5 linked regions of the Rattus norvegicus genome follow. The protein of the gene in region 3 purifies or fractionates together with the protein of the main gene of each other region. This does not show direct contact. Links are inferred from orthologs where the notes say so. Each region holds a gene or a part of one and is shown on either strand. Other genes may lie near its edges.

Region 1 (4,256 bases), on a different chromosome or scaffold from region 3:
GTAAGCAGAAGAGGAAGTTTTCTTCCTTCTTCAAGAGTTTGGTCATTGAGTTGGACAAAGACCTTTATGGCCCAGACAACCACCTTGTTGAGGTAAGACAGATTGCCGCTGCCCGTGAATCACAACCTTCCCATCAGCCCTGGAGCAGCTGCAGATTTGGATTGAGGACCATCCTAAAGCCCTAGGCTCTACCAACCCAGATGAGTCTGTGGGTGACCTAGCTCTTCCCCCTGGACAGTGGCACCGGACACCCACAACCCAGGAGACAGATGGGTTCCAAGTGAAGAGACCAGGGGACTTGAGTGTGCGCTGTACCCTGCTCCTGATGCTGGACTATCAGGTTGGTTTTACTCCGTGCCTGCATGCCACACACAGACCCTACTCTCCTTCCTACTCACTTTCTCTAGGGGCATGCTGCCAAGGACCCTAACCTCCACGCCCCATTCTCTATTTCTCCCCTCAATCTCATTTTCCTGGTAACCTTTTCCCAGCCTCCCCAGTTCAAACTGGACCCCCGCTTGGCCCGGCTGCTGGGGTTGCATACGCAGAGCCGCTCAGCCATTGTCCAGGCACTGTGGCAGTACGTGAAGACCAACAGGCTACAGGACTCCCATGACAAGGAATACATCAATGGAGACAAGTATTTCCAGCAGGTAACATGTCCTTAGCCTCAGGATCTGGGGATCAGGGATGGTATCCTAGCAGAAGCACCTCCCTAAGGTAGCTATCTCCTTTTGCTGAGTTCCTGAATAACAGGAATGGTTAGGGCCATGGCCTTGGAGCCAAGAACAGGGTCTTGTCCAGGCTCTTCCTGGATGATCTATTCAGCTGCACCCCAAGGGAAGCAAATGTGGGGCCCTACTAGGGGAGGGGAGGGCACAGCATCCTGCAATGTAACCTTCTTGGTACTTGGAGCTGGGATCTCTGAGGTGCCGCCAGTCTTGGGTCTAGACTTGGGGTCACTTACTTTGCTATCCCTTCTGCCTCTTGGTCTGCTTCTGAAATGAGGGGTGGTGGGAGGTGTGCCATCACATGTGTTTGGCAGCTAGGAAAAACGACATTGCTGAAAGCTGACCCGACAGGTCTAGCAGAGTAGAGCATTGCTATTAATATGTTTTAAAATAAGCACAGTAGAGGAGTCTGAGGAGAAAGAGTAGCTGGTGTTTATTGAGCATTTACCATGTACCACTTCAGACACTTCCTGCTCTGCAGATTCACCCGGTTCTCATAACCACCCATGAGATGGGGTTGGTAATATCCCTATTCTGGAAGTGAAGGCACTAAGACCCAAGGTGCTAGGTAACTTCTCACAGGATGTGGCAGAAGGGACAAACGCTCAAGCAGGCTGACTTAGGACCCCACACTGGCCCCCTAATTATCCTGCTTCTCTACCTCCAGCCCAGCCCACAGCCATCAGCGCCCAGAATTCTGACTTGCCCTCAGCTTCTTGTGGTCTTTCCAGAATGGAAGGACTATTATTAGCTACTGTCTTTACACACACACACACACACACACACACACACACACACACACACACACGAATGATCTCCCTCTCAACTCTCCTGCTTCAGATTTTTGACTGTCCCCGCCTGAAGTTTTCTGAGATTCCCCAGCGTCTCACAGGCCTGCTGCTTCCTCCTGACCCCATTGTGATCAACCATGTCATCAGGTGAGGTGGCCCAGCCTTCCCCACAGAGGGAGCTCTCTGCTCCCCTCCCTGCTCCCCTCCCTGTGTCCCCTCCCCAGCCCTGGGCTTCCGTGGGGGTATACCATGGACATCAAAGGCTGGGCTTCTCTGGCAGCGTGGACCCATCAGACCAGAAGAAGACCGCGTGCTATGACATTGATGTGGAGGTGGAGGAACCACTGAAGGGGCAGATGAGCAGCTTTCTCCTGTCCACCGCCAACCAGCAGGAGATCAGTGCTCTGGACAGTAAGGTGCGGCCTGAACCCAGAGATAGAGTGGGATGTTAAACCGAGAGAGAGGACAAAGCACTCAGACCACAGCATGGCCCTGGGACACGAGGCACACACAGCCCCTCCCTGCTATCGAGAAGCTGACTTCACTCCAAGTTCAGCTCTGCCCACCCCGCTCCCCTCACTGAACTCAGAGAGAGCAAGGGCTCTGGGAAACTGCCCTTCACAAGAGAAGCTAGTCCCCCCTGCCTCCTCCTTCCTCTTGCATTCCTCCCCCACATCAGGGGAGGGCCAGGGGAGATCATTGTCTTTCTACCTGTAGATCCATGAGACCATTGAGTCCATAAATCAGCTCAAGATCCAGAGGGACTTCATGCTAAGTTTCTCCAGAGACCCCAAAGGCTACGTCCAAGACCTGCTCCGCTCCCAGAGCCGTGATCTCAAGGTGAAGACGGGGCTCAGGGGTCACTGATGTGAAGACAAGCACACAGGGAGGGGAAGAGGAGCATGCAACTCGGGCAGGTGAGGCACTTGGAACTCACCGCAGGCCCCGTGCTCCCTCCCAGGTGATGACAGATGTGGCCGGTAACCCCGAGGAAGAGCGCCGGGCTGAGTTCTACCACCAGCCCTGGTCCCAGGAAGCTGTCAGCCGCTACTTCTACTGTAAGGTAATGGAGGCCCTGGAACATGAGGCTTCCTTCTCCTTCAGTCCTAAGAGAGGCCTTGCCTCTCACCTGGCAACAGTCTTTGCTGCTGCCTATGCCCAACGCCTGTCCACCACCCTACACCCCCATGCAGTAGTCTCCTGGCTCCCAGACTCTTCCAGGGAAGGGGTGCCAGGAGGGGGTGCCCCTGGTCACTCACCAGGGTCATTGTAACCCTGCCCCTGCTCACGCTTCCTCTAAAGATCCAGCAGCGCAGGCAGGAGCTGGAGCAGTCACTAGTTGTGCGCAACACCTAGGAGCCTGTGAACACGCATCACTGTGGACCAGCCTCGCTGCCCAGCATGGACCCTGGGCTCTGGACTCCCTCTCCCGTGCTGTGCTGGGGTTGGGGAGGGCTGGATTAAAGGTCACTCATCAGACAGCAGCCTTGTGGTCATTGTGGATTGGGATGGGAGGGAAGAAGAGAGGGGAAGGCAGTGGAACCTGGCAGACAAACTCTCCATGACCCTCCTACAGATTCTTCTTAGCCCTCTCCCTAGACCTAAAAACAGTTTGGCAGAAGATACTTTTAATAACATTTCTTATTTTTAAAAAAATACAGCGGCAAGCCCTCCATCTGTCCATTGCCTTGCCTTGCCCTTCCTGGGGCTATGGCAGACCCAGGGGTGGAGAAGCTAAGTGCTGTTGGCCTGCTCCTGCTCAAACAGAGCCATAGCTAGCTGGGTACGGGCACCCAGCCCCTCCAAGTTGCTGAGGCGACAACGGTGGTACAGTTCCTCACTGAGCCGGGGGCTGCAGTCCCTCAGGGAGAACTTCTGTACCAGCCCTGGCTCTACGGCTCGAAAGAGGTGGAGCCCTGAGAACCGGAGGAAAACATCCATCACCTCCAGCCCCTCCAGGGCTTCCTCCTCTTCCTGGCCTGCCAGTTCACCAGCCAGCCGGGCCCGGGCTGCCAGGTAGTCAGCGTTGTAGAAGCAGCCCTCTGCTGATGCCTGCCGGTCAAATCTGCCCCCGACTGGAGCTCCCCGAGAAGGGTCCACACCAGGGGATGGGGGGTCAGGGCCAGCCCCAGGGACACCTGGGGGAGATCTCTGTGGTGACAGAACGGGGTTGAACTCCTGAAAGTGGACCGGAAAGAAGGCCTGCCAGCCCGAGATTGCATTCATACGGCAGCGGTTGAGGACTTCCGACCCAGGTCTTGTCCACACAGTGGTAAGGAAGAAAAGCGTGTCCACGGGGTGTTTCTTGGAGATGACATCCATGAGTCGCACCTGGGAAGGGGCCTCCGCTCGAACAGCAAGCCAGGCCAGCCTCGTCCCGGGGTACCGTCGTTCTAACTCAGCTGCTGCAGCCTTCACTCCAAGAAATGGGTCAGGGCCCCCGCGGCCTTCCCGGGGCCCATAGACCAACAACAGGGTGAGCAATGCATGTTCTCGAGGCTCCAGAACACTGGCAGCAAAGGCTTCAAGAAAAGCCAGGGCAGCCGGAGCTTCGGCCACCAGGATCGGCAACACCAGCTGCACCCGGGTAGCCTCAGTGACATAGGGCATAGGCAGGATTTCCACTTTGCTCAGTGGCCTCAGCAGGCTCACTCTGCGGGCCAGGGAGCGTCGATGCCCTCGTTGAGTCACGGCTTCCAGCAGCAAGTCCAGGGTGTACTCCATGCCCCTCGCA
Region 2 (4,256 bases), on a different chromosome or scaffold from region 3:
CTGATTATAAAGCTTACCTTTCTTTAGTTTCTGCTTTTTGATTAAGGGCGCCACATTATAGTTCAGGCTAGTCTGGGACTCATTATCTCGAACTGGCCTTGAAGTCAAGGCAAACAGACCTGCCTTGGTCTCCAAAACCCTCAGATTACACTTGTGATTCACCATAGCTGCTCAGAGCAGGACTATTACTGTTCCATAACGTCTTGTCCACGAGAGAGTAAGGGGTAAATTGTTCATTTCCATATGCCGGGACCAACTTTATAATGCTTAGGATTTTATCACCATTTCATATAGGTCATTTCTGTGAAAGGCAGCAGTAAAAACAAGATCCTTACAATTCTAATAATCAGGTGGATGGATGGAATTCAGGCAAAAGGAAATGTGACTAGAAACTAGTGGAGAATAGATGAACATCTGTTGACAGTGCATTCCCTTTCCTAGGTCATGCTGGGAAAGGGGGTACATTCAGGAAGAAGTGTTAGAAGCATTGGTTGTTACTGATCGGTGAGGTATAGACTATGTAGCTCACATCTCTCGCTCGCTGGAGGCAGACTTATGTAACTGTTGTTTGGGTCAAAGAAAACTTCGTTCCTTTGGGAAGGAAATGGTTCGAGAGAAGTGAAAGCAGTGTGCTGGAGATGTCTTTTTTTTTTTTTTTTTTTTAAGACTCATTGATGGAGATGCCTTTAGAATAGGAACTTCATTGCCTCCTGCGTGAGAAAACTATGTCAAACTGGGAGGGAAGGAAGGAAGGAATTGGATAAGGTCTTGGGGACTCATGTCAAGAATTCTTCCCTTTCTTTATTTCCTTTTCTCTCTTTCAGCTCCCAGGGTTGCTAGAGCTCCTTGTTGAATATTTCCGTCGATGCCTGATTGAAATCTTTGGCATTTTAAAGGAGTATGAGGTAGGGGACCCAGGACAAAGAACACTGCTAGACCCTGGGAGATTGACCAAGGTGTCTAGTCCGGCCCCCACAGAGGAAGAAGAGGAAGAGGAACACGTAGATCCCAAGCTGGAGGAGGAAGAGGAGGAAGGGGTTGAAAATGATGAGGAAATGGCCTTTTTGGGCAAGGACAAGCCACCTTCAGAGAAGAGTGAGGAGAAGCTAGTCAGTAAGTTTGACAAGCTCCCGGTAAAGATCGTGCAGAAGAATGACCCGTTTGTGGTGGACTGCTCAGATAAGCTTGGGCGCGTGCAGGAGTTTGACAGTGGCCTGCTGCACTGGCGGATTGGTGGTGGGGATACCACTGAGCACATCCAGACCCACTTTGAGAGCAAGATAGAGCTGCTGCCTTCCCGGCCTTGTGTGCCCTCCCCAGTGCCCCCTCGGAAACACGTCACAACAGTAGAGGGTACACCAGGGACAACGGAGCAGGAGGGTCCCCCGCCTGATGGCCTTCCAGAAAAAAGGATCACAGCCACTATGGATGACATGCTGTCCACCCGGTCTAGCACATTGACTGACGAGGGAACAAAGAGTACAGAGGCCAACAAGGAAAGCAGCAAGTTTCCATTTGGCATTAGCCCAGCACAGAGCCACCGGAACATCAAGATTTTAGAGGACGAACCCCATAGTAAGGATGAGACCCCACTGTGTACCCTTCTGGACTGGCAGGATTCCCTTGCTAAGCGCTGTGTCTGTGTCTCTAATGCCATCCGGAGCCTGTCATTTGTGCCAGGCAACGACTTTGAGATGTCCAAACACCCAGGGCTGCTGCTTATCCTGGGCAAGCTGATCCTCCTGCACCATAAGCACCCAGAACGGAAGCAGGCGCCACTGACTTATGAGAAGGAGGAGGAACAGGACCAAGGGGTGAGCTGTGACAAAGTGGAATGGTGGTGGGACTGCTTGGAGATGCTCCGGGAAAACACTCTGGTCACCCTTGCCAACATCTCGGGGCAATTGGACCTATCCCCATACCCTGAGAGCATCTGCCTGCCTGTCCTGGATGGACTCCTACACTGGGCAGTTTGCCCTTCAGCTGAAGCCCAGGACCCCTTCTCAACCCTAGGCCCCAATGCCGTCCTCTCTCCTCAGAGATTGGTCTTGGAAACCCTCAGCAAACTCAGCATCCAGGACAACAATGTGGACCTGATACTGGCCACGCCCCCTTTTAGCCGCCTGGAGAAGTTGTATAGTACCATGGTGCGCTTCCTCAGTGACCGAAAGAACCCAGTGTGCCGGGAGATGGCCGTGGTACTGCTGGCAAATCTGGCACAGGGGGACAGCCTGGCAGCCCGGGCCATTGCGGTGCAGAAGGGCAGCATCGGCAACCTCCTGGGTTTTCTGGAGGACAGCCTTGCTGCCACCCAGTTCCAGCAGAGCCAGGCCAGCCTCCTCCATATGCAGAGCCCACCCTTTGAACCAACTAGTGTGGACATGATGCGGCGGGCTGCCCGAGCGCTACTCGCCCTGGCCAAGGTGGACGAGAACCACTCAGAGTTCACTCTGTACGAGTCACGGCTGTTGGACATCTCCGTGTCACCACTGATGAACTCACTGGTTTCACAAGTCATTTGCGATGTACTGTTTTTGATTGGCCAGTCATGACAGCCGTGGGGCACCTCCCCTCCCCGTGTGTGTGTGAGTGTGTGGAGAACTTAGAAACTGACTGTTGCCCTTTATTTATGCAAAACCACCTCAGAATCCAGTTTACCCTGTGCTGTCCAGCTTCTCCCTTGGGAAAGCCTCTCCTGTTTCTCTTCCTCCCCACCCTCACTCCCTCACACCTTTCTGTTCCTCACCCTCACCTGCTTCCCTCAGGACCCACCCTGTTGAAAGACAAAGCTCTGCCTACATAGAAGACTTTTTTATTTTAACCAAAGTTACTGTTGTTTACAGTGAGTTTGGGGAAAAAAAAAATGGCTTTCCCGGTCCTTGCATCAACGGGATGCCACATTTCATAACTGTTTTTAATGGTTAAAAAAAAAAAAGGAAAAAAAAATACAAAAAAACCCTGAAGGACAAAGGTGACTGCTGAGCTGTGTGGTTTTGTTGCTGTCCATTCACGATCTCGCAAGGAGCCGCGAAGGTGGCAGTCGTGAGCAGCCCTGTTCACTGGCGAGGCCCGTGCAGTAGAGTGTAGGTCCTTCCATGTACTGTACTGGACACCTGATACTGTAAACATACTGTAATAATAATGTCTCACACGGAAACGAGAGAAGACGCTGGGTCAGCAGCAAGCTGTAGTTTTTAAAAATGTTTTTAGTTAAATGTTGAGGAGAAAAAAAAAGGCTTTTCCCCCAAAGTATCATGTGTGAACCTACAACACCCTGACCTCTTTCTCTCCTCCTTGATTGTATGAATAACCCTGAGATCACCTCTTAGACCTGGTTTTAACCTTAGCCGCAGCGGCCGCGCTGCCACGTGTGTATATATATGATGTTGTACATTGCACATACCCTTGAATCTCCACAGTTTGGTTCCCTTCCCAGCTACCCCTTTATAGTATGGCGAGTTAACAAGTTGGTGACCTGCACAAAGCGAGACACAGCTATTTAATCTCTTGCCAGACGTCGCCCTCTTGGTGCGATGCTCTACAGGTCTCTGTAAAAAGTCCTTGCTGTCTCGGCAGCCAATCAACTTACAGTTTATTTTTTTTCTGGGTTTTTGTTTTGTTTTGTTTCCTTTCTAATCGAGGTGTGAAAAGGTTCTAGGTTCAGTTGAAGTTGCTGATGAAGAAACACAATTGAGATTTTTCAGTGATAAAATCTGCATATTTGTATTTCAACAATGTAGCTAAAAACTTGATGTAAATTCCTCCTTTTTTTCCTTTTTTGGCTTAATGAATATCATTTATTCAGTATGAAATCTTTATACTATATGTTCCACGTGTTAAGAATAAATGTACATTAAATCTTGGTAAGACTTTTGTGAGGCTTTTTTTTTTTTTTTTTTTTTTCAAATTATTTTAAAAAGCTTTACCTGTGGCTGGAAAGATAGCTAGCTTGGCAGTTTTAGGAAAACCCATGTTTGGTGGATGACAGCCTCCTGTCCAAATCCATGGGATCTGACCCCTCTAATGATGCGTGCGAGCGCGCGAGCGCGCGCGCGCACACACACACACACACACACACACACACACACACAAAACTAATAAATCTTTAACCAGGATTTAAGAGATGGCTTAGTAATTAAGAACACTTGCTTTTACATAGGCTCAATTCTCAGCACTCGCTTTGTAGCTTACAACCTTAGGTCAAGGGGTGGTCCAGGACCCACAGATGTAGCATGATCTGACCTCTGTGGGCCCCA
Region 3 (5,012 bases):
AGACAACATCCTCAAGGTCTAAGCATGGGGCAGATCTGTAGGTCCTTAATGTGCAGCAGATCCAGGACTCCTCACTGAGCTCAAAGGTCGGCCCAAGATCCTACAAACTAGGATCTGCCTCCCCGTCACAGGAAGGGTCTAGTGGGTAACAATGGCCTCACTACAGCCAGCTTGCCCACCATAAGGCCTCTGCACTAGCCATACTTTCTGGGACTGGATCCTTGTAATGTCCAAACTCCAATACCAACCTCACTTCCTCCAGAAGCAAACACAACTACAAACCTCTCTCAGCATCCAGTTACCTCTTGGCACATCACTAGTTTAATTTTCCTCAAGGTGTATCATACAAAACTCTGTTCCCCCAAGTATCGAAATTCTATCAAAGTATAAACTTCTCTGTTCTTTGTTTACCGACCCAAGAGCTAAGAACACTGTCTCGCCCAAGAAACAAGATTTTTTTTTTTAAACAAGTATAAAGTTCCCTGGGGAGAGTTAGGGAGGAACGGGTGCGCTCTGACAGAAAGCGGGCACGCACGTCGTTCTCTGAAGTGCCGCAGAGGTTGCAGCACTTGCACTCGATGCACTGCCAGCGGTAGGTCTTCACGGCTGCCATCATCACAGGGGTGAACTGCAGGCAGGACGGATGCCCTGTGGAGGAAGGGAGTCAGACAGTGGGCTGGAGACCAGAGCGTGAGTGGGTAAGGGAGGCTGCCTGACTATAAAAGCACTCAAGGAAGCAGGCCAGGAGGGTTGTGGGTACCGAGTACACCCTGCTTTTTGAGGATGGAGGTACCTGAGCGGCCACAGTCAGAACAGGACACCAGCTCCTCAGGCTGCCCTGTCTTCTTGTTGATTTTTGAGTCTCCCAGGCAGAAGTCACAGTAGTTGTTAGGCAGGGCCAACCCATCAGGTCCTTTCTTGGCTACAGAAAAAGAAAAAGACTCTGATGATGGTCAAGGGAGCTCTGGGTTACCCTACATTCTCTAGACGGAGGATTTTTATAAACAAGCTGGTTCCTCTCCTGATTGCCTGCCCCGACAGCTCAGCTTACATTTCTGCTCCTCAGACCTCTGGGACACAGGAGTGGGTGGTTGGGAGTCTTCTTTGTCCTCTCCTTCCTCTTCAGCCAGGTGGGAATGGGCATAGTGGTAACTGAGGCCAGGTCGGTTCTTGTAACGTTTTCCACAAACTGGGTGGGAAAAAGATTGCAGAGAAATATTAGGACACAAAGGTGCTACTTTCCCACTGTGACAAGTTATGAAGCTCCAAATGAGGCCCAAGGGAAACCTCTGCCCCAGTGTCCCTACTCTGGCACAAGCTTTAGTGACAGTCCCTTCCCTTTAGCCAAGAGCATCAAGCCCTGGGCCTCTTTAATTTCTGGGACTCTCTTCCCTCTCTAAAACACAGACCCATAGCTACCAACATTTTTCCATGCTGGCTTCTAGAAGGACTTAGCCTCTGCTGCATCAACTTGCCCAAGAAATAGTAACGTCTGGGAGCTCCAGGTCGGGAATGTTCTACAGTGTAGCCTTATGGCAAAAAGGGGGATGTGATGAGGAGAGACCAGGCTCTTTTTCTGCTATGTAGATGTGTCAGGCTCATGCCACCCTGTGCATGCCAATCTCAGCTGAACAGACAAAGGGCTGAGGGTGGGTCTCCTGGTGAGCACCTACTAACTGCCAGCCAGGATAATTTCCCGCAAAGAAACTGAAATATATTCCCACACTAGTGCCCTGCCCAGCCCCTGCCAACCAACAAGGAAAGATTACATGGCATTTTATCTTGAGCAATGACACCAAGAGGAGCAAGGAGGCCAGCAGGAAGGAATGGGAGGATGGGAGGAGGTGGTGGTGTTGATGGTGGAAATGTGAGCTGACTGCCTGTTGTCTGGTTTGGGGAACATCGGATGAATCTATCCATAATGGGTTTCTGTTAACACTAGGCCAAGTGGCCATAGGAGGCAGTCTGTGATGCAATGGTAAAGACAGCTGCTAGGACTGAGAATGGAGCACAACCCGGGTACCACAGCACTACCCTCATACCGTTGCAGATTCCAAAGCTAGTATCACAGGAAATGAGAAAGGTAGGAGGAACAAGGGAAGAGGGGAAAGGGATAGGAAAACCACAAGTCTGAAAAGTTGAGAGAGCTACCTCTCTGGGGCGCTTTCGAGGTATGCTTTTGTTTGAAACTATCTGAAAGACAGAAAGAAAAGTCGTGAGAAGAAGGCCTTGATACATTTGAGACAGGGCAGCAGCAGCAGGAAAACAGAGCAAGTGAGAGAGAACCCCAGCAGTGGCACTTCAGGCTGGAGGCACGGAAGTAGGGTAAGCCAAAGCAAAGGGAGAGAGGACAGACACTAACCCTCAGGGCTGGCCGGCCCCTGAGCCCTGCCCTGATGGGTCAGCAGATCTAGATGCTGCCCACTATGAGGCCAACACTGCCTGCTTTGAGTTCCCTCATTCTCCCACCCCAGGACCCACAGAAATCTCTCCCCAGAGCATGCAGGTCCCACCCACTATGAAGCGAAGGCCAGGTTGGCAGGCAGGACAAGAACCCAGGCTTGTTTTACCACTCAGTGCAAGAACATGACCTCCCCCCCCCCCCCCCCATATCCAGAGCAGGAGCTGGGTCTGAGGCAAGAACTACCCACCCCTAAGGTGGCACTCACTGTCACAGGCATAGGGCTTATCCCGGTCCTCCAGGATGGAAGCGTCCAGCTTCTTCCGGGCACTGCTCACACCCTTACTCTGCCAAGAAAACCAAAAAGATGATGCCCTCACTAACACTAAGCGGTCTTGGCCAGAAGAGCAAGGCAGAAAGCAAGAAATGTCATAAGATTGGCCTCCACAGACCAGCCTACTTCATTATTCCCTCCTCACCTTGGATTTCCCCTTTCCCCGACGCTTTGGAGTATCTTCTTCATAGTCCTCGTCATCAAGGTCGTCTAGGAAGTCATCGGGTTCAAGGATCCGCTGAGTGGAGCAGGAGATTGGAATGAGCAGAAGTCAAGCACATCCCAAAGCACCCTCACAAGATAGAATTAGCCCCCTGGAACTACCCAGAAGCCTCTCTGAGGCTTAATCCACAATCATTCTTCACCCTGCAATCCCATCACTGCTTCCCCAAATGCTTTCTTTTCCCTGTGCCTCTTCAAGTTGCTCCCCTAGCCTAGAATGTCTGTCCTCCATCTCTCAGGAGCCAAACACTGTTTCCATAAAGCTCTCCTGGCACCCCAGGCAGCCTCGTCCTGTTCTGCCTGCTCTGCTTCCAAAATGCATGTCCTACTTTAAATAAGGTTTTCTGCTTACTTGACCTTGGGAAGTTTTAACCGCTTTGATTCTGCCTCCCTGTCAATGAAATGGGAACCACAGGACCTACCTCATGAGGCTGCACAAGAGGAAGCATATGGGGAATACTTAGCAGCGTACCTGGCTCATCTGTAGCTCTTCTCATCTTTAAGCTTAGCATTAACTTCCCAGTTGACAGGTGGGAACCAAGTGTGCTTCACCTATGTCACAGCAGGTATCTAAGTCTCTAATAGTCAGTCTTGCCTTGTGTGAGAGAGAATGAGTGTGTGAGCCTGTGCTGGGAAGGAGTGTGGAAGGCTAGATGGAGCCAGGCTGGGGCTGGCAGAGCCCAGGACTGCAGGGCAGCCTCCGCCTCCATTTCGGCTATTTTTGTTTTTTGTGTTAGGGCTTACACATCAACAGGCATGTATTCTACCATGATCTGCTTCAGTTCTACTAATTGGACCAAAAATTGGCTCAGAGGTTAAGAGCACGGATTGCTCTTCCAGAGGTCCTGAGTTCAATTCCCAGCAGCACTTGGTGGCACACGATTAGTGGTCCAATTAGTAGACCCAAAAGAGGCTGATCCTTATTAAAGTCCTTTAGCCATAGATAGGAACGACATACCTTCCGTGCTCGACTGTTGGTAACAGGAAACTCGCCCAGGCTGTCATCATCAACTCGGGGATCTGGGGCACCCCGTTTCTCCAGGGGATCAGTACGCAGCAGAGCCTCTAAACTGCTGCCATCCTGGGAGATAAGGCCCTCTTTCTTCAGAGTCTGGTCCGTGTCTGCAACAAGTCAAGATGAAGCTAACTCAGAAGGGCTGAAGCTGAATCTACACCACGAGGGGCCAAGTCAAACCCAGCCACTTCTGTTCTCCAGGAACCGAGATGTATCTGTTCAGCCGGCACTGGAATAAGCTGCATTACCTGTTTTCACTAACAGTGGGCTCCCTGAAGGACAGAAGCAAAGTATGTGCAAGCTCAACAGAGCCTGGGGAGAGCCGGCAATCAGCAAGCCTCCCCTCATACAGACCATGGCCTTCCTGAGAAGGGAGCCCCTTACTTGGTTTATTTACTCTGGATTATTTTAGTCATGACATATAAGACATAATCATATATGTCTATATGGCGCATGAACACATGTGGCTACACATGTTGGGAGGACACTGGGGGCTCTGCCTTATTGCCTTGGAGTCTCTCACTGAATTAGATTGGTAGCTAGAAGCGCCAGCTCTGTACTCAGAGTTTTGGGATTACAGGAACATGTTGGCCTTGGCCACACTGAGCTTTGTATAAATGCTAGACTAGAATTTAGGTCCTTGTGTTCACACAAGCACTGGGACTTCTCTCCAACCCATATCATTTTGAGGGAATTTCATGGTTTTTGAGGCTCTCATGTAGTCCAGGCTGGTCTCAGACTCTCTATTAGTAGAGAATGACCCTGAATTTCTAATCCTCCTGCCCCAACCTCCTCAATGGTATTGTTATATAGGAATATACAACCATGTTCAGTTTATGCAAAGCAGGATATTAAACCCAGGGCCCAGTGTATGCTGGGTGACACTCTAGCAACTGAGCTACCCCAGCCTCTACCTGGCTTAATAGACGGGAAAGAAAGCCTGGGATCCTCAGGTGGGTGGGCTCGACGCTTTTTTCGCCAGCGTCGGGCAGGGTAGGAGTACAACTGTCCAGAGGCCAATCCTGTGGAAGGAAGGAAGG
Region 4 (4,256 bases), on a different chromosome or scaffold from region 3:
GCTCCAGGCACCTGGCTGGGGGCAGAAACTCAGCATTTGTTGAATGGACACACGGACAGCGCTCTGAAGACAGTGGTCATTGGCATAAGATAAAGCCCGTGCCTGGATGGCACCCTACAGTTCCCTTTCTATCCACACCCACCTCCCCTCCATAAGCAAGATCTACCTGCTGTACCTGTTAAGAGTCTGTCCATCTGTCTGAGCTGTCATGACATGGCCCCTCTACAGGTGTCATCCAGCATCCAACCTGAACCTTCTCCTTAAACTGTAAAGCACTGATTGAAACAAGGCTTCTAATATTTGCCCCTCTTACCAATGCTGGGGAGGCCAGGTGACCTGCTCCCCCCAATACATCCTGTTCTATCTGAGCCTTCTCTCCAAGTCTAGTGCCCTTCTCACACCTCTAAGTTAGCACCTCTTCATTATGGTTAGGGTAGAGACGGCTAAAGACCTGGTCCAGCAGGGACACAGGGCCAGACAGACAGATAAGGATGCTCTCTCATTAAGTGTCCCAGGCTGGCTTTGAACTTGCGATCCTACAACCTCAACTCTCTAAGTAGATGAGATTATAGGTGTGCCGGAGCTGGATTTGAACCTGGGCTAGATTCCATTGTGTCTGCCTCCTGCCCCTGGACCTTGGGTTTGCACTGAACAATCCAAGAACGATGTTGATACTTGGTTACAACACAGAAGGGGTCTGAGCAGGGGCTCCATCGCATGCAAAATTCCAAAGAGTAATCCGGCCTTTAGGTTTCTGAGGTTATGTCTTCCTTAACCTTAGGATGTGGGCTCACTGGGATGAGATGTTCTGATGGACCCAAACGCCACACCATCACCAAGCTGAGATTAGAAAGACAAGACTCCACATCCTCTACGCCAGAGGACTCTTGACGCAGGACCACACATCCCTCCCATCACCGTGGTCCCAGGTGGTGTAGGCTTAAACTCTGAGCTGCTGCTCAATGGACGAACAGCGTTCTAACAGTCCAACAGGAAGCAGCATGACTCTCAACGCACCGTGGAGAACCCCAGCCCCACCCACTGAGGCGGGACGGCAGGTACCTGAGAGATTGCCGATGTTTCTGCCGCCAGCCCTGACTCTGCAGATGGCTGCCGTTCCGCTTTCTCTGAGCTGTTCGTTGAGTTTTCCATCGAAGACTGGGAGTTTTGCTCGTCAGAAGCATCTGAGCGAGAAGCAAGACAACAGAAGCTGTTTTCAGACACATGAGAAGCTGCAGCAGATGGGCCAGGTACTAAAAATACCCAGATCTGGGGAGTTTTGTGGCCAGGGGCTTCCAGAGCTCGATTGGACCAAAGCTTGGGAAGTTTCGATGTATCAACTAGCCAGACAGTTATAAGGAGCCAGGCCACAAGTGGGTTCTGTGGGTCTCCGACCCTCTGCCTGGAGAAGGAAGAGGGAGGGCTACTAAGCGCATAATGCTGCCAGTGTCTGGCGCCCTCTGCTGGGCACCAAGCACTACAGCAATCATGGCTGCCACCTGGCTCCGGCGGGGGAAGTCATGGCCGCAGAGACTTCATTGGGCTTTTGAAGAGAACCAGCATTCTCCTAACAGCAGAGGGAGCGGAAAACAAGCGTTCCCAAGAGTTTCTTATTTTTATTTTATGTGGACGGGTGTAGCGCTTGCATGTATGTCTGGGCACCACATGTGTGCCTGTTGCCTGCGTCTGATCTCCTGGAAACGGAGTTACACAGATGGTTCTGAGTCACCGAGCGCTTGCTGGGAACGAAACTTGGGTCCTCTGCAAGGGCAGCCAACGCTCTTAACAGTTGAGAAATCTCTCCAGTCTTTAATTCTTTAAAAAACAACAACAACAACAACTCCCATTTGTTTATTTAGTATATGTGCTTGCAACAGTTCGTATATGGAGGTGAGAGGACCACACGATGGAGTCAGTTCTCTCCTACCATGTGAGTTCTGGTGACTGAACTCAAGTTGGCAGGCACCTTTACCTGATGAGCCATCTCCCCCAGCCCCCTGCCTTTTTCTTTTAAGACGGGTCTCAAATATCCGAGGCCAGCCTCAGACTCTTTTAGAAGCTGAGGATAACCTTGAACTTTGGGGCCTATGGACTCTGCCTCCTGAGTGCTGGGATCCACAGGTGCACACTGCCAAAGCCAGTTTATTTGATGGTGAGGTTCAAACCCAGGGCTTCCGGCATGCCAGCCCTGGGTGAGTTCTCTATCAAATGAACTATATCCCGGGCCCAACTTTTCTCTTAACAATAAGGATGAGTCTAAGTGACTCGAGCAATGGCTAACCACAGAGGAAAACAAAAGCATAGCTACACTCACGTTAACTGATACCTCACACCTCTAAGATGCCAGCATTTTTTTTTTTTTGGTTCTTTTTCGGAGCTGGGGACCGAACCCAGGGCCTTGCGCTTCCTAGGAAAGCGCTCTACCACTGAGCTAAATCCCCAGCCCCTAAGATGCCAGCATTTTAAAGGACTCTGTTCTACCTTTCTAGATTGCTCCCTCATGTGCCTACGGACTTCCTATCTCTCTAAATGGTGACGTCACAGACATCTGCCTATCTTTACAAATCCTCTACACACGAGAGTTTACAACCTGGCTGAACAGCATCATGTGAAGCAATTGTTTATCTGACGATACTAATCGCTTGGGTTACTTGTATGGCCTCAGTTTTCCCTCTTGCCCTTCCTCAAGAACTTACATATGACTGGGTTTTTTTTCTCCCCTCTGTGTAGCCCTAACTAGCCTGGAACTTGCTCTATAGATCAGGCTGTCCTTGAACTCAGAGATCCACCTGTCTCTGCCTCCAGAGTGTTGGGATTAAAGGTAATTGCCACCCCCACCTGTCAAGACCCAGCAATTTTACTTTCTGGTCCAGAGACCAGAATCTTGAATACAAATGCCACACTGTTCACAATGGTGAATTCAGCAGTGGGAACAGCCAGATAGTATTATAATAGATATTACCCAGTCATAAAAAGGAACAAAGGAGTGTCAGGGAGATGGCTCAGGGGTGACAGTACAGCCATGAAAGCCTAAAAACCAGATTTGTTCCCTAGGGGAAAAAACCCATGTGAGCCACAAAAGCCAAAAACCCCAAATTTGTTCCCTAGAACCCGTGTGAAAATCAGGACGGGGTAGCACACGACTGTAATCCCAGCACTCGTGAGATGGGAGGTGAAGACAGGAGACTGGCTAGAAACTTAGGGGCCAGCCACCCTGGAGGATACAGCACAGCAGCGGAAACAGGGCAGAACCTGTCTTGACAAGGTTCTTGAAGCCAAGACACATGATGTTCTTTATGTGAAATGCCTACAACAGGTCAGCGCTCCAGCACGCACACGCGTAAGCACGCACGCACGCACACACGCATGCAGCGGACTGGTCATTATAAGGAAATGGTGAAGGAAGGCAGAGAGGGACTGTACAGTGTGGGCAGTATTTTTTATGGACTGAGGAAAATGTTCTGGAACTACACAGAAATGACAGAATATCCTAGATACCAGTCAAGAGCACTGGCTGCTCTTGCAGAGGACCTGGGTTTGGTTCCCAGGGGCCACAGGGTGGCTCAAAATCATCCGAAATGTCACTTCCAGGGGATCTAACACCTTCTCCTGGCCTTTGAGGCATACACATGGCGCACATATGTGGCTAAGGCAAACACTTATACACATAGCATTTTTTAAGAAGAGAAATGTTAGGGGTTGGGGATTTAGCTCAGTGGTAGAGCGCTTGCCTAGGAAGCGCAAGGCCCTGGGTTCGGTCCCCAGCTCCGAAAAAAAGAACAAAAAAAAAAAAAAAAAAAAAAAGAAGAGAAATGTTAGAGGGCCAGGTACGGCGGCACGCTTTCAATTCTAGCACTCAGGAGGCAGAAGCAGGAGGATCTCAGAGAGTTTCAGGCCAGTAGGGTTACATAGTAATATAGTAATTCCCTTCCTTAAAGAAAATGGAGGGGCGGGGGTGGGGTGGGACAAAAAAAAAAAAGTTGGACATGGAAGCACTTGGGACATAGACATCAGAAGTTCAAGACCAGCCTTTGCTGCTGCTACATGATACTCTGCTTGCAAAGCAGAAAAGAAGGAAGGGGGTGGGCGTGGGGGCCCATGTAACTTTGTATTCTATTTCATAGTGCATTTGTTTGCTTTAACTAACAGTTCAACTAAAAAGTCTGCTTCATTGGTGTCTGCCTCTGCGGGCAGTTTCAGTTTGTTTCCCACACGCACTGGGCACGCACGGGAGGGTTTACCGCTCTCGGGCAGTC
Region 5 (4,256 bases), on a different chromosome or scaffold from region 3:
CCAGGCCAGCCAGGGCTATGCAGTGAGACTCTAGGGAAAAAGATCGACAATATCGCTAACTTTTTTCTAAAAGTGAATGGAAACCATCCTTTTACCTTTGGGTGATAGTGACCCACAAACCAAACAGCAGCCAGGAGTCTTTGCTGTTCTGCGTATAGACTCTTGGTCTCAGCACTCTAGCTGTGGGTTACATAAATCTCTTCTGGAAGAAAAGTGCAGAAACTACCTTCACTTCATAAATGTACACTATGCTAGGTAGATACGATGAAAAGAATAATAGAACTGTTCCTTTCTGAAGCAGAATCCAGACTTGAGGGCCTGGTGTGGCCGTGCACACCTTTAATCCCAGGACTCAGTGGGCAGAGGCAGGCCAGCCCATCCTGAGTTCAAGGCCAGCCTTGTCTACATAGTGAGTTCCAGGCCAGCCAGGGCTGCATAGTGAGAATCTCTTAGGGGAAAAGTCAGGGTCGTTAAGCACTCGATGGGTGAACAGAGAGGCCTAGACTCACTGCCAGAGTGAACACCTCACACCCGTCTATTGGTTGTCCCCACAGTGTGACTCTGAAGATAGCATTTCTGAAGTCAGTGAGACCGTAGAGCATCTTAAAAACAGTCATAGGCCTCCGTCTAATCAGGGGCCGTGCTTACTGTATTGCTACAAACAGACTGAGGCTGTTACTGGGGAAGTAGTGATTTATAGGCTAGGCTAGGGATTACTAATACAGTACTTTTTTTAGACTCTAGAAAATTCTTTGGCATCTCTGTTTTGAGTTTTATTACTAAACAAAGCAACATAGGCAACAGGACAAATTATCTCACATCTGTCTAAAATTAAAAACTTTTTGGTGTTTATTGCCTTGTAAAAATATCAAAGTCGCTTCTTAAGATGAAAGAAGGTCACAGGAGTCTTAGATTTCAGAAAAGTGCCAACATCTCTAGTCAGGTCAAAATCATAAGCTTCTTACTAAGCTCTGGGATCAGGAGACACAGATGCCAGCCAGATGTGCACTGCTGTTGAACCCTTGATGTCAGCAGAATGTGTTTGCTGACTCCTGAAAGCCCGGCGTCTGGAGGCATTGTCTCGGCATGGTGGTAGGTAGCCCGACCCTCATAATGAGCCTTCTTGCTTTACCCATAGGTGGGAAACTACCTGCGTATGTTCCGAGGTTCTCTGTACAAGAGATACCCCTCACTCTGGCGGCGACTAGCCACTGTGGAAGAAAGGAAGAAAATAGTGGCATCGTCACATGGTAAAAAAACAAAACCTAACACTAAGGGTGCGTCTTCACGAGGGTTTGTAAACCTGTTTCAAAACCACTCGCTTATGTCACGGAGATAAAACGTTTTCACTCCAGTGTCTTCATTGCAGCCTGACCTCAGTTCGGTAGGGAGCATCCCGGGGCGGGCCACCCTGCCAGTGCACACGGGCCTCAGGAGAGAGTGGCTCATACTCCCCTGTTGTGTGTTCCTGGCTGGGCCAGCGGGTCTGTGAGGGGCTGGGCCAGGGCAGTAGCAGGTGCTGTGAAGACATGTTGGTCTCAAAACGTTTTAGGAATGCTGAGATTTGCTACCATTTGCTGAGTGTGTCGCTGTAGTCATCCTTGCGGCCGTAGACGGTGGCCCCAGCCCTCTCTCCTCTGGGGCTGTCACCGCTTCCCTCCCACAGCACATCTGTCTGTACTACTTCATGTTGACAACCGGCGTGCTGAGCTCACGTGCATGTACCCATTCCGTGGCCCGCCCTGTGCCTGGGGCTTGCCAGGTGAGCCATCTGATGCCAGCAAACCTAGGGCAAGCTCTGGGCTGTGGCAGCTCTTCAGCATGACACATGCTCTTCGTAGTCTTGGCGCCTCTAGATTATGGGCTTGGGTGTGGCTGCAGCATGCCATCTGGCAGGTGGCAAAACTGCTCTCCACTCAGCAGAGGCACCCTGTAGAGAGCTGCCCTGGGCCTGGGTGCATGTGTGCGTGCATGCAAGCATGCGTGCTCCCCAGCACTCTGTCGTCTGTCTCGTCTGTAGGTGCTGATGTAGTTTTGTCTGTTGTGGTAAATTGGGGTTCTTTTACTGCAGGAGCCAGAGCTGCTTTTGTTCACTACTAAAACAGACCCACTGTTGCCTAAAACAGTTTCGTTTGTATCCCTTGGGCCACAAGTGGAGGACGGTCACTAGCATGGTGCCTGCCTAGCTCTGCCTGCCCTTCCTTGAGTTCCTATGAAGTCGCACTGGTCTTTCTGCTGTGCTCCTTCCTTCCTTCCCTCCCTGTGGTTGAGAGATTCCTCCTGTGAAGCTGAGCAGGTCCTGCAGATAACTGGCAGCTCTTGACAAAGGCCCCTAGAAGAGCTGGACTCACGTTGGATGAAGTCTGTCTTGGTTTCCAGACAGCACATCTGCACTGGCTCAGGCATGGTAACTCCTGCTTGAGGCGAACACTTCTTTCCAACTCTCTGGGCTCTTGTTTTAAAAGAAAAGTCGTCATCTTTCATCTGTCTCGTCCTTGCTTTGTGTTTAGATTGTGGCAGTGTCAGACCTCTTCCCACTGGGGTGTTGTCCGGCAGCTTCCTGGCAGCCCCTGAGCTGCAGCTGCCCCGGACATCTCTGCCTCCGAGCCAATGCTCTTAGGAGGTGAATTCCTCAAATCCATCCTGCCGAGGCTTCCTCCTCTCTAATGTCTAGGCCAAGCCTCAGGCTGCTCGCCCTTTTGGAAGAGGCTGGCACTCAGCAGTAGAGTTTGACACCTCGCTTCCCGCCTCCTGCATGTGAGGACCTCATGTGCTGTATCGATGGTTGGCAGCCATCACACTGCAGCAGTGTGACCGCACTGGGGCTTCTCTGCTTACAGACCATGGATACACCACCCTGGCCACCAGCGTGACGCTACTGAAAGCCTCAGAGGTGGAAGAGATTCTGGACGGCAATGACGAGAAGTACAAGGCTGTGTCCATCAGCACAGAGCCCCCAACCTACCTCAGGTACGTCTTCTAATCCTAGTGTGCTCCGGGGACATGCGCGGGCAGGCGGGCGTTCCCACCCTCAAGAGCAGGCTAAAGTGAGCTGAACTGAGCTGAGCTGAACTGCCCTTCAACCCTTTCCTCGCTGAGTTCATAATTGCCTGACCTGGGCTTCTAAGTTTCTTCTGTATCTTTGGAATTCTGAAGAAACGGGCCAAGACTTGGGTTCTGAAATGTAATATTCCAAAATTGGGATTCATTTATCAAAAAAAACCAATGGTGACTTAGATAAATTCCCAAAAGAAACAATAGATTTAAATGTATGTATGTAGGTATGTATGTATATAGTGTATAGTGTATGAATGTGTATGTATGTATGTATGTATGTAGTGTATAGTGTATGAATGTGTATGTATGTAGTGTATAGTATATGAATGTGTATGTATGTATGTATGTAGTGTATAGTGTATGAATGTGTATGTATGTATGGATATGTGTATATGTGGAACTTTAAAAGAACTTTTTTGAGAAGCATCTCATGTAGCCCAGGCTGGCCTTAAACTGGCCATGTAGTTAAGCATGGTGTTAAACTTCCAATCCTCCTGCCTCCACCTCCCGAATGCTTGCATTACAGGTGCATGCCGCCATGCCTGCTTATGCCCAGGACTTGGTACCTGCTCGGCGAGCGCTCTGCTGACTGACCTGTATCCTCAGGTCCACCCAAACTTTGGTTTTGTTTTCGAGACAGGGTCTCTGTGTGTAGCTCTGACTATCCTGGAACTCACTCTGTAAAACAGGCTGACCTCAAACTCCGATCACCATACTTGGAAAGCAGGTGCATTTACCCCGTTAGCCATCTTTCCAGCCTAGAACAGAACTTTTGTTATGGATGGCAAATCACTGTAAATGTACTGTGTTGTATCTGTGTCTCCACACCTCGACTCAGACGTGAACTGAGAAGCCCGTAGGTTTGGTGAGCTGGAGCGATGCTAGTGACTGAACCCAGGACCCCGTGAGTTTGTGTTCCATCTCTGAGCTGCACCCCAGACCACAGTGTACAAGAAACTAGAGTGCAGTGCATATCTAGTGATACGGGAGGGAAACAAACATGGCAGGAATGATTGTCATCTACGTGATCTTATTCTCCTGGGTGAGGCTGAGGATGGAGCTCGGGGCCCCATTGCTAATTGTGTGTACACTCTCCCATTGAGCTGCATTGCAGTCACTGTGACCCCCACCTCTAATCGCAGACCGACCTCTAAAGTGAATGCACGAGGGTGTGGGTCTAAAGGCCTGCGTGGACTAAC

The links.
Region 1: the proteins of Dpf2 (region 3) and Smarcd3 purify together in Homo sapiens (affinity purification with mass spectrometry; 3 studies listed by BioGRID and IntAct, counting the BioPlex papers as one, with this or other methods). This does not show direct contact. The link is inferred for Rattus norvegicus from reciprocal best matches to the Homo sapiens genes DPF2 and SMARCD3.
Region 2: the proteins of Dpf2 (region 3) and Arid1a purify together in Homo sapiens (affinity purification with mass spectrometry; 6 studies listed by BioGRID and IntAct, counting the BioPlex papers as one, with this or other methods). This does not show direct contact. The link is inferred for Rattus norvegicus from reciprocal best matches to the Homo sapiens genes DPF2 and ARID1A.
Region 4: the proteins of Dpf2 (region 3) and Bcl7a purify together in Homo sapiens (affinity purification with mass spectrometry; 3 studies listed by BioGRID and IntAct, counting the BioPlex papers as one, with this or other methods). This does not show direct contact. The link is inferred for Rattus norvegicus from reciprocal best matches to the Homo sapiens genes DPF2 and BCL7A.
Region 5: the proteins of Dpf2 (region 3) and Smarcb1 purify together in Homo sapiens (affinity purification with mass spectrometry; 11 studies listed by BioGRID and IntAct, counting the BioPlex papers as one, with this or other methods). This does not show direct contact. The link is inferred for Rattus norvegicus from reciprocal best matches to the Homo sapiens genes DPF2 and SMARCB1.

What each region holds. Positions count from the first base shown.
Region 1 is NC_086022.1:11,469,776-11,474,031, forward strand, and holds the end of Smarcd3 (SWI/SNF-related matrix-associated actin-dependent regulator of chromatin subfamily D member 3), read left to right. Parts: coding exon 1-92; intron 93-238; coding exon 239-340; intron 341-491; coding exon 492-653; intron 654-1,141; exon of another isoform or gene 1,142-1,571; coding exon 1,572-1,669; exon of another isoform or gene 1,670-1,802; coding exon 1,803-1,938; exon of another isoform or gene 1,939-2,239; coding exon 2,240-2,362; exon of another isoform or gene 2,363-2,483; coding exon 2,484-2,585; exon of another isoform or gene 2,586-2,824; coding exon 2,825-2,878; 3' UTR 2,879-3,006; downstream 3,007-4,256. Other genes in the region: Chpf2 (chondroitin sulfate glucuronyltransferase precursor), read right to left, coding at 3,257-4,256. UniProt on the Homo sapiens protein: Involved in transcriptional activation and repression of select genes by chromatin remodeling (alteration of DNA-nucleosome topology).
Region 2 is NC_086023.1:151,191,631-151,195,886, reverse strand, and holds the end of Arid1a (AT-rich interactive domain-containing protein 1A), read left to right. Parts: intron 1-824; coding exon 825-2,552; 3' UTR 2,553-3,873; downstream 3,874-4,256. UniProt on the Homo sapiens protein: Involved in transcriptional activation and repression of select genes by chromatin remodeling (alteration of DNA-nucleosome topology).
Region 3 is NC_086019.1:212,617,499-212,622,510, forward strand, and holds part of Dpf2 (zinc finger protein ubi-d4), read right to left. Parts: intron 4,995-5,012; coding exon 4,887-4,994; intron 4,080-4,886; coding exon 3,916-4,079; intron 2,974-3,915; coding exon 2,881-2,973; intron 2,749-2,880; coding exon 2,670-2,748; intron 2,194-2,669; coding exon of another isoform or gene 2,152-2,193; intron 1,190-2,151; coding exon 1,052-1,189; intron 923-1,051; coding exon 794-922; intron 649-793; coding exon 536-648; intron 1-535. UniProt on the Homo sapiens protein: Plays an active role in transcriptional regulation by binding modified histones H3 and H4. Is a negative regulator of myeloid differentiation of hematopoietic progenitor cells. Might also have a role in the development and maturation of lymphoid cells.
Region 4 is NC_086030.1:38,876,515-38,880,770, forward strand, and holds part of Bcl7a (B-cell CLL/lymphoma 7 protein family member A), read right to left. Parts: intron 1,185-4,256; coding exon 1,063-1,184; intron 1-1,062.
Region 5 is NC_086038.1:12,743,948-12,748,203, forward strand, and holds part of Smarcb1 (SWI/SNF-related matrix-associated actin-dependent regulator of chromatin subfamily B member 1), read left to right. Parts: intron 1-1,138; coding exon 1,139-1,250; coding exon of another isoform or gene 1,251-1,277; intron 1,278-2,840; coding exon 2,841-2,970; intron 2,971-4,256.